Linked DNA regions of Saccharomyces cerevisiae S288C. The protein of the gene in region 2 interacts with the protein of the main gene of each other region in a pairwise test. Each region holds a gene or a part of one and is shown on either strand. Other genes may lie near its edges. The genes, in order: GDI1, YPT52 and YIP3.

Region 1 (3,947 bases), on a different chromosome or scaffold from region 2:
TGTAGATTGTGAGCTCGTAACCATCTCTACATATAATTGTGAGAACTTCGCCATTACTACTTTTAACTGGCTTAAAGGGACCGTGCAAATGGGTATCACAATAGCAGGGCCAAATGGTGTAGTCCAAATCGAAGGCGGCCACGTCAGGGTATCCAGTCATAATAAACGCGTTGAGACTATTTTGGAGCAGGATTTGTAACAAAATTGTTCTCTTTGTAAGTTTAAGGACAAAAATGCTTGTTTCTCGAGAAGGTCTCCTTTTCGGCAGGTCCTTCTTCTAGTGCGTGAAAAATATTCTACTCAATCCCTTAGTATTCTTTGTAAACAATACACTTTAAAGAAATATGAATGCTTATCTGCTTTTCAACAATCATTTTAGAGTTCTTATTCACTGAGGTGCGAATGGGTACGAAATTTGTTTCAGGAGAATTTAGCTTGTTGCACACAAATTTCTGCCATTTATATCTGCAAGATCTGTTTCCCTCTTTCCAACTAGCGAGGCATATTAGAAAAAGAGTGAATAGTAACTTGTGTAAGTTTTGATGTAACGGTAGTATAGAGTACCTATAATATTCGCCGATTATATTCTCAAAACTTGTAAATAACGCCATGTCACCGTATGGAGAAAGTGCTAACCAAATTGTAATATCGACCAAGACCTTTTTCTGTGAATTATGTAAGTTTCTTAAAGTCCATGTCATGCTTGAAAGATTTTAATCAACCTTGCATTTGTGGTCGTTAAACTCAAAGGGGATATTCAAACGACAATCGACAACTAACTTCGAATAAACTAAGATTCACTTTATTGGGATATAATCAATTACCCTTCATTAAGTGGTGTATATGTTCCTGACGTATTGTCATTTTCGGGATAAGAGGTTTGATGACTATTTCTCGATTTTCATGTCATCCTCTTTACACCGTACGTGATAATACACTAATTACACGATATAACTGAGCAATGATATTTTAGAGCTTCATCTCCACAATTTCATGTGTAAATCTTAAGAATTGTAGATATATTCTATTTTTTAATGAAACTTTTTCAACAAATTAGGTTTCGTGGTCTAGTCGGTTATGGCATCTGCTTAACACGCAGAACGTCCCCAGTTCGATCCTGGGCGAAATCAATTTTTTTTTTCGAAAACGTTATAATTTACGTTAATTTACAAAGGGCATTCCTTTCATACTAAGCAATGTTTACTTCCAATCTCTTGAGACATCTTCGAAACTAGTTGAAAAGAGACAAATCCGCTTAATAACTAATAGTTACAAGAATGGCCAATCAAACTCTTGCCAAGCGATACAAGCTTTACAATCCTGTAACAAAAACATACTTTTAGCGGTTCCGACGGTATTCTTCTTTTTCTCCATATATTTTGCTTATGTTGGCTACTTTAAAATAATTACCGCTTCCCCCACCAGAAACTAAACATGAGCTAAAGGCGCAAAACTTAAAAAATTACATAGCCAAGACTGTTTTCAAGAAAAAAATATCAGACCACATTTGATAAAGTACATACCTCTGTTAACTCCCGTAATACACCCATATTCTTGTACTTTCTACAATCTATCACTCAAACTTCTCTATTATCCAACATCTGCTGTTGCATAGTAAAGTAGGCCGTAAACGCTCAAAACCGTTATCTTTAGGTTACCCTTATGTTTGAATCGTTTATCTCACATTGGCGGTGTTTTCCCCTCTCCTGTGGGCTCCAAAATCTTGGCCGTGGGAAGCTTCAGCGAGGGATTGTAGATGTAGTTTCAACACGTCGGCTGATTTATCCCGATTTTGTTAGTAGAAAAGGTTCTACTTCATTCTTGCTTGAGACGTCGTCCCATCAAATTTCTAACATAGTCTTTTTTCAAGGAAGGATATTTTTCAAAGCAGGACTGCAATTAGTCTTTTCCTTTTCTTTACTCCCCTTCCATCATAACTGTTAGTGAATAACCACTTATATAGCATAACACAATGGATCAAGAAACAATAGACACTGACTACGACGTGATTGTCTTAGGTACCGGTATTACCGAATGTATCTTATCTGGTTTACTCTCTGTAGATGGAAAAAAGGTATTACATATTGACAAGCAAGACCATTATGGTGGCGAAGCTGCTTCTGTGACCTTATCTCAATTGTATGAAAAATTTAAACAAAATCCGATCAGTAAAGAGGAACGGGAGTCCAAGTTTGGTAAAGATAGAGATTGGAATGTCGACTTAATTCCTAAATTCCTGATGGCCAATGGTGAGCTGACAAATATTTTAATACATACCGATGTGACCAGATATGTCGATTTCAAGCAAGTTTCTGGCTCCTACGTTTTTAAGCAAGGCAAAATTTACAAAGTGCCAGCTAATGAAATAGAAGCCATTTCATCGCCATTGATGGGTATTTTTGAAAAACGTAGAATGAAGAAATTTTTAGAATGGATTAGCTCTTACAAAGAAGATGACTTGTCCACTCATCAAGGATTAGACTTAGACAAGAATACCATGGATGAAGTGTATTATAAATTTGGGTTAGGCAATTCTACCAAAGAATTCATCGGTCATGCAATGGCTTTATGGACCAATGATGACTACTTACAACAACCTGCTAGGCCATCGTTTGAGAGGATTTTGTTATATTGCCAAAGTGTTGCCCGTTACGGTAAATCACCTTATTTGTATCCTATGTATGGGTTAGGCGAACTTCCACAAGGATTTGCTCGTTTGTCGGCTATTTACGGTGGTACTTACATGCTAGACACTCCAATTGATGAAGTATTGTATAAAAAAGACACAGGAAAATTTGAAGGGGTCAAGACTAAGCTGGGAACTTTCAAGGCCCCATTGGTTATTGCTGATCCAACTTATTTTCCCGAAAAATGTAAATCTACTGGTCAAAGAGTTATTAGAGCCATCTGTATTCTTAACCATCCAGTTCCGAACACCAGTAACGCGGATTCTTTACAAATTATTATCCCACAAAGCCAACTGGGAAGGAAAAGCGATATATACGTTGCGATTGTTTCAGATGCGCATAACGTTTGCTCCAAGGGTCACTATTTAGCAATTATTTCTACAATCATTGAAACTGATAAACCACATATAGAATTAGAGCCTGCTTTCAAACTTCTGGGACCAATCGAAGAAAAATTCATGGGAATTGCCGAATTATTTGAACCAAGAGAAGACGGCTCTAAGGATAACATTTACTTATCCAGATCATACGACGCATCCTCTCATTTCGAATCCATGACTGACGATGTTAAAGATATTTACTTCAGAGTAACAGGCCACCCATTAGTTCTAAAACAAAGACAAGAACAAGAAAAGCAGTAAATTCATACCTTTACGACTAAAGCAGCAATTGGAGGGTAAACTTATTTTTTCCGATAATGTTCTTGGCAAATGAGTTACCAATAAATGACATGAATTACAGAAAACAAGAAAATATTTGCCAAAAAAAAACCAATACAAAAATATAGGGGAAAAGATTATCCTTTATTCCTTTCTCATTCCACTTTTTTTTTTTGTTATATGCGTATTCTGATTGATTCATAACTAAGTATCTTTCCTTTTCTTTTCTTTCAATTTCTTTTTTCCATATATAAATACATAAATTTACATACCTTATGTAGTATAATATATGGAAGAATGCTACTGAACACATCAGTACACATGCTATGTACTTACAATCTTAGTAAGGTAGATGTAGGTCTAATGCTTCGATGATCCCTTCATTATTTCTTGGGTATAACTGTCAGTCTCGCACCGCAGTGTGCCCTTGTGTGGCCAGCCTCGTGACAAAATGAACATTTTATCTTATTTTTTTTCTTTTTACTACTCTTTTTGCTGGTTACTCCCTGAATAGTGCTCGTAGTTTTATCTGCCTCTTCCTTGGCTTTAATCGGTATCAGGGCATATTTTTGATCGTCTTTTTCCATGATCTCTATTCCAT
Region 2 (3,199 bases):
GGTATAACGAAATTACCAGCTACGACTATTCCAACCCTGGTTTTAGTGAAAGCGCAGGTCACTTCACCCAAGTCGTATGGAAGGGAACTTCTGAAGTTGGTTGCGGTTTGAAATCTTGCGGTGGCGAATGGGGCGATTACATCATTTGTTCCTACAAAGCCGCTGGTAATGTCATTGGTGAGTTTGCTGACAACGTTATGCCATTAGCTTAATCACTGAATTTAGCGAATACATGGGTATGGACATGAACAGCAATGGGCACTGTTCCTTCTCTTACATTTCTCTTTTATAGTTTCAATTTTTATTATACACTAAGGATTCTTCTTTTCTAGGGTACGCAAATTAAATGCAAGCAAGATCATATAACATTGTCATAGTCTCATGCATGGTAAATAGGGTGAACGAAAAAAATTGGGAGATCTTGCCGACGGCTACGTATATATATATATATATATAAATATATATATATATATTCATGTATACTGTATATGTACAATCATATATAAAGTTACTCTTCCCTTTTCTTTTTTTTTTTACATTATTACGTATATACTGCTTTATTATCGGAAAGTAGCAGTTTAATTAAAGCAACTTCTGTTGTTTTTCCTCTAAAACACAAATCATAGGATATCAACTGCAACAAGATGTTGGATCATTTGTGGATGGCCTTTGCAAATTAATGTCTACTTGTCCGTTATTGCCTCCACCGATTTGTCTATTTTGCTTAGAGAGAATTTCGTCTTTCTTTAAATCGTATAATTTTTCACCAATATCTTGAAAAATTTCCTTAACCCCTTCACCTGTCTTAGCACTAACTTCTCGGAACAGCAACCCTTGTTCTTGTGCGTACTGTTTCGCTTCTTCAGTGCTAATTGCTCTTACTTTTTGTTCTTCATCTCCACCTTCGTTTGAATCTGGGCTTGTCTCAGTGCTAGGCGTTTCTTGACATAAATCCACTTTGTTTCCCAGTAAATAAATAACCAAGTCGTCGTCGCCTACCTTATTTTTCAGCTCATCAACCCAGTTCCTTGCCTTTTGTAGTGAATCTTCCTGCGTAATGTCATAAACAACTAATGCTGCATTAGCGTTTCTATAATACATTGGTGCCAATGACTTGTATCTTTCTTGACCAGCAGTATCCCAGATTTCAAATTTTATAACGACATCCTTTGTTTCATTACCATCGTTTGGGTGAATAGTGATTGATTGAGATAAAAAAGCAGCACCAATCGTACTTTCACGTAGTTCATCGAATGTATCCTTAACAAAACGATGAACAATGGAAGATTTACCCACGGATGAGTCACCCAATAAAACTAGTTTAAATTGCAACATCTGTTAATAATATATACGTTTACTCCAAATAAGTTAAACCTTCTTCCTACCCTCGCACTATAAAAAAAAATTTAGATATGTCCAGAGCTCGATATCGAAGCGACTTAACAAATAATTAATACTGACAGTTGGTAAACGGGCCTGTTCCCTTCACTCCCGTATGTTAACATTGTAACTTCATATCGCAGGGGCAGAGCTTTATAAACCTGAATTGTCCGGCCAGAATAGTAGTCGCTGTCCACGAAAGCAAGACACTATGAAGTTGCCGTTTGGTCTCAATGATACACATAGTGTTAAGAACATTGAGTAATTTGGAGTCAGATTGATTTCATTCCTTTACAATCGTGATGTGCCTATTTAATTCAAGGTCATGTGGATTTCAAAATTTAACATAATGATTTTACCTACCTTTCACACATTTGAACATGGGAACGCTTAAATATTAATTACTGTGCTTCACTACAATTACAAGAGAGTACGTATTGACGTTATTACCAGTTTACTTTCCATCATACTTATCGCAGAAAACAAAATATCTAAAAAAAGTATAGTAAACGGTTGATGTCATCAAGAAGCATACCTTACTCCTTATATAGAAAGCTAAGAGACACCTAGAAACATTGATTTGCCAAAAATCCACATTCCTCGAAATGGGGCCTAAAATGTGCGCTAATGCGCTAATAAAGGTGATATAAAGTTCAAATCTTGAGTATACATATGACATACAACCATAAGGCCTGATTATTGTCTATTTACTGCAATTTTCATCTTCAGTTCCAATCCACGGTATAATGAAATGTAATGCATCCTATCTTATTTTTGAATGTATTATGTTAATCGTCACGTTTTGGTAATGATTTCTAGATGCGACTATAGCATTTTTGGCAAATCAAGCGTTTATTTTGACTTTTCTAAATTTGGCTTTAAAATCCCTAAATTTCACAGTTACGACATCCTTAAAGTGGATATCTGTTAAAATAGTTGACCCAAGTACTTCACTCTCCCCAGGCATTTTGTTGATGTTGTTACTGCTCGCATTGTATTTCATTATACATTTTCTCTTGTCCTTTGTTCGCTGATTCCTTTCTCCATGAGGTGATATGTTGAGTTTAATCTTAAGGTATTCTCTCACTAGACCGTGCGCTTCCTCTTTATGGCAATTTTTGCATGATTTACTATTTTTATTATTACTATTATCATTTTTACTGGCGGAAGATGCTATTTTGGTCCTAGGTCTAACTACCTGATTTTTTGTATGTCTCTCCGAGTGCTTACCAGGTTCTTCGACCTGATTTTCGTCCATAACCATCTGATCTTTACAATATTTTTTCTCAAATGTCTGAGCCTTCTCCAATCCTAGCATTTGTTGCTCCTTTCTCCAAACTCTAGCACATCTTTCACTCATGTAAATTGGATCAATATCTTTCATAGTGGTATTCCAAGATATGTTGTTTTGGTCATTATCTTGGGGTTCAGGTTGAAAGTACGCGTTTTCCATCGGTGTTCCTGCATTATCTTCACTTTCGCTTCTAGACTTTTGAGCTATTCCGTCGTTCGCAATTTTAGGTCTGTCGTTATTTTTCTCTTCATTGTCATCCTTTACTTTATCCACTTCTGTTACATAGCCTATTACCACAGCAGCGCAGTTATTAAAAGTATTGACAACCCTATTAGCGAGAGGTGTTTTTATGATATTTTTCAATCCTGATGACGCTTCAACTTCAATACTATCCATTTTTTTTCTCTCTATCATAATGTTCTCCTGTTCCTCACCTTGCATCCTCACCTTGGCTTCTTCTTCTCTCCGTTTTTTCCTTTCCTCGTGTTCCTTGTAAGGTCTCATGTCAACATAGAATTTTTCTGG
Region 3 (3,156 bases), on a different chromosome or scaffold from region 2:
TTTTGAAGTGTAGTAGAGGTCTTCTAATGAAAACTCGGCAGGGCCCTAAGCTCAAACTCTACCTCATCTACGTTGACCCTTTTTACCTTCTAGATGCCATCAGTTGTTAATAGTAGTAATGGAATACGATTTGCCAATCAATCTTACAATCGCATATAATTCGTCACTGTTGAATATCTGCGACGTACACCATCTAATCACTTCGCTTAGTCGATATAACCATTTGTTTGAAAAGATGAATTGATTCTAATCTTGCCTCTCTCGGGTTATGTTATTATTATTTTTACGTTTTGGCACGTGAATCTTCAGTAATTGATTGCACGCTTGATAAACGAAAAAAACATAAACAAATAAGGTAAGACTGCATTGTAAATCCTAGGAATGAGAAAGAACAGAGAAGCTAACTGCAATTATGAATGGTGTCTGTATACAATTAAATACTAATGTTGACGGAGAAAGAGAATAAAAGACAAGAATTAACTAAATATTGAAGAAGAGTAAAATACACAATAGAAAAGAATGACTCCTTTTCCCAACACTTGTAGGAGTGTTCAAACAGTTTCTTCATCAAATACAGTTTCGATGGGTTTTTCCATCAATGATGCATGTCCGAAAACGCTGACGGCAGAAGCACCGATCAACCATAGCAAAGTTGAGATTGGCGAAGCTAAGAAACCTATTGGCACAGCAACACAAACCAGTCCGGTGTATAGTTGGTTGGTCTTGAAAGAACCAAATGGAGTTACGAGCTCCTCACCCTTTAGTTTGTTTATACCAACAATACCAGCTACGACTAGAACAATAACAAAGAGTAGCAACAAGTTTGTTAATAATGTGTAAATGCTCAAACAACCAATAATCAAACCATAGTTACTGGAAAAGTACTTCAGGTTATACGCCACTCTGGATTGAACTTCCCCAAAGTTTTGAGGTTTGGAAATTTTCTTGAAATTGAAAAATTCTTGCGGGGTGCGAAGGGTTGCTAATTTAGATTGCAAGGATTGGAACTCGCTCTTAATATTTTCCATGGAGAAGTTTTGAGTGAAACGTGAAACTTGCTATAGAAATATAGAAAAAAGGTTAACGCGTTAGTATAGTTTTTCAATGATGCAAATGTGTTTACAATTTAGAACTTACGGCTAAAGCTCCTAACTGATTCATTATTGGAGTATTTGATGTTATTTTATGCGTATTTGACGGCTGATAGTTCCAAACTCAGTGTTCAAAGCCCTGCAATATTGAATTCAATCTGAATTCTTTCGATTTGTATTTATATTCGTTGTTATTATTTATTTTTTCTTTTTGCCTCGATTGCATGTGACAAAAGTGCAAAATTCGTATCGCACGACACAGAACTCCGCCACTAATTAGAACCAGAGAAGTAGCAATGAAGGCTCATTAGTAGGTTATATTTAATTGTTTACGTATTCATGTTACGACACGTCCCTTTTCAAAGACCTAAATCTTGTTTCACAAGAGCTTTACAGATTGGATGATACGTGTCCTTGAATTTGTCGAAAGTTGCAAGTGCCAATCGACGGTCTACAGAGTTTAATAGTCTGTAACCGGGACGGACAAACTTCATTCTACCTACAGTTCCCAACCAATCGGCCAAATGCTTATATTCTTCTTGCAGCTTGGCAAAGATCTGAAATTTGAACATCTTGAAAACAACTTCCGCGTTCTGTGATTTAACAATGTTATCTTGATAGATATCTAACAGTGCCCTAGATGCCACGGGAAACTTGGCCCAGTCAAAATCTTTTGGTTTCTTGTTGGAATGGCCATTTTGTGTCAAAGTTTCCAAGAACAAAACCAATTGATTTGAATTAAAATCCTTAATGTCAATAGCGTTAAATTCAGACCGGAAATCCTCTGTGGTTTTCAAATGTTGAGCCATTTCGACCCACTTGTCAGCCAATTGATAAACATTATCAGCCAAAGCCGTAATAAAATGAGGCCTTGGTGGCATACCTGGTTTATACAGCCAAGTTTCCCAGTCAACGGAATCCAAAATTTCTTTCTTTTCGGGATAGAACTCATACAAAGTATCCAAAAACTGGAAAGTATCCAATGATTTTTTGGCAAACTTCTTGAAATAGTGTCTAATAAATGGATCAAATTCAGCCTTACCACCCAAAATAGTTTCCAAGTGAAATAGTAAGTTGAACCCCTTTTCGTACGGAACAGTGGAAAAGGCATCGTCAGGGTCAGTGTTATCGTTCAAGTTTTGTACCAAAGTGGAAAATCTTTCAGGATCTTTCATAGAATCAATAGAATTCTGCAAATCGCTCCAACCAATCAGAGCACTGAAATGTCTAGTTGGTTCGCCATGAATGGCACCAATAATTCTTCTTTCTAAGTAAACGGTCCAACCTTCATTCAACCAAAAATGATTCCACGAACAATTGGTCACTAAGTTACCAGACCATGAGTGAGCAAGTTCATGGGCGATGACATCAATGTTGGATCTGTCATGTGCAATCAAGGTGGGCGTAGCAAAAGTCATATTCGGAGACTCCATACCGCCGTAAGGGTACGAATCGACGTTAACTAAGATATCATAAGTGCCCCACTCGTATTCAAAGATAATTTTCTCTGCAGTTTGAATGAATTTCTCTACATCGTTTTCAAATTCCCATTGACAATCTTTCAAACGAAATGGTTCAGTGTAAACTGTGGAACGAGGTCCAATTGGAGCGCTTGACAAATCACCGGAAGCAATACCGATCAGGTAGGCTGGGATAGGGACTTTCTGTTCAAATCTGTAAATATTAGTATCCTTGCTTGTATCTTCAATCCTGATGCCTGAAAAAACCACTGGTAGTGGGGACTCGATAGATGCAGTGAAAGTAGACTTCACAGAGGGAGTATCAAAGCAGGGGAACAAAGACCTCGCATGAATAGCTTCCAACTGTGAAAACACGTACGGTTTACCGCCCTTGGTTTGCTTGCTGTTCAACCATTGCAAAGCGGTGCACTTGTCAGTCGTACGAAATTGAATATTCAAGGTAAAGTTATCGTTGCAAGAAGCGTTATTGATGACTAACCTGGAGCCCAATGGCTCCTTTCTTTGCTCAATTTGAAAATCTGCCTTGGAACCATCAATATGAACCTCCTGGACATCCAAATAGGATGTATCCAGATGTAATTCAT

Evidence for each region.
Region 1: the proteins of YPT52 (region 2) and GDI1 interact in binary tests that used the Saccharomyces cerevisiae proteins (3 or more experiments, as listed by UniProt).
Region 3: the proteins of YPT52 (region 2) and YIP3 interact in a two-hybrid assay, tested with the Saccharomyces cerevisiae proteins (one study listed by BioGRID).

The regions. Positions count from the first base shown.
Region 1 is NC_001137.3:437,644-441,590, forward strand, and holds GDI1 (Gdi1p), read left to right. Parts: upstream 1-1,972; coding exon 1,973-3,328; downstream 3,329-3,947. Other genes in the region: YER134C (Mg-dependent acid phosphatase), read right to left, coding at 1-160; YER135C (uncharacterized protein), read right to left, coding at 309-701; YER137C (uncharacterized protein), read right to left, coding at 3,730-3,947. UniProt on the Saccharomyces cerevisiae protein: Regulates the GDP/GTP exchange reaction of SEC4 by inhibiting the dissociation of GDP from it, and the subsequent binding of GTP to SEC4. Plays an essential role in the yeast secretory pathway.
Region 2 is NC_001143.9:464,737-467,935, forward strand, and holds YPT52 (Rab family GTPase YPT52), read right to left. Parts: upstream 1,336-3,199; coding exon 631-1,335; downstream 1-630. Other genes in the region: PRY2 (sterol-binding protein), read left to right, coding at 1-212; YKR015C (uncharacterized protein), read right to left, coding at 2,225-3,199. UniProt on the Saccharomyces cerevisiae protein: Required for transport in the endocytic pathway and for correct sorting of the vacuolar hydrolases suggesting a possible intersection of the endocytic with the vacuolar sorting pathway.
Region 3 is NC_001146.8:543,273-546,428, reverse strand, and holds YIP3 (Yip3p), read right to left. Parts: upstream 1,162-3,156; coding exon 1,138-1,161; intron 1,059-1,137; coding exon 552-1,058; downstream 1-551. Other genes in the region: LAP2 (bifunctional aminopeptidase/epoxide hydrolase), read right to left, coding at 1,451-3,156.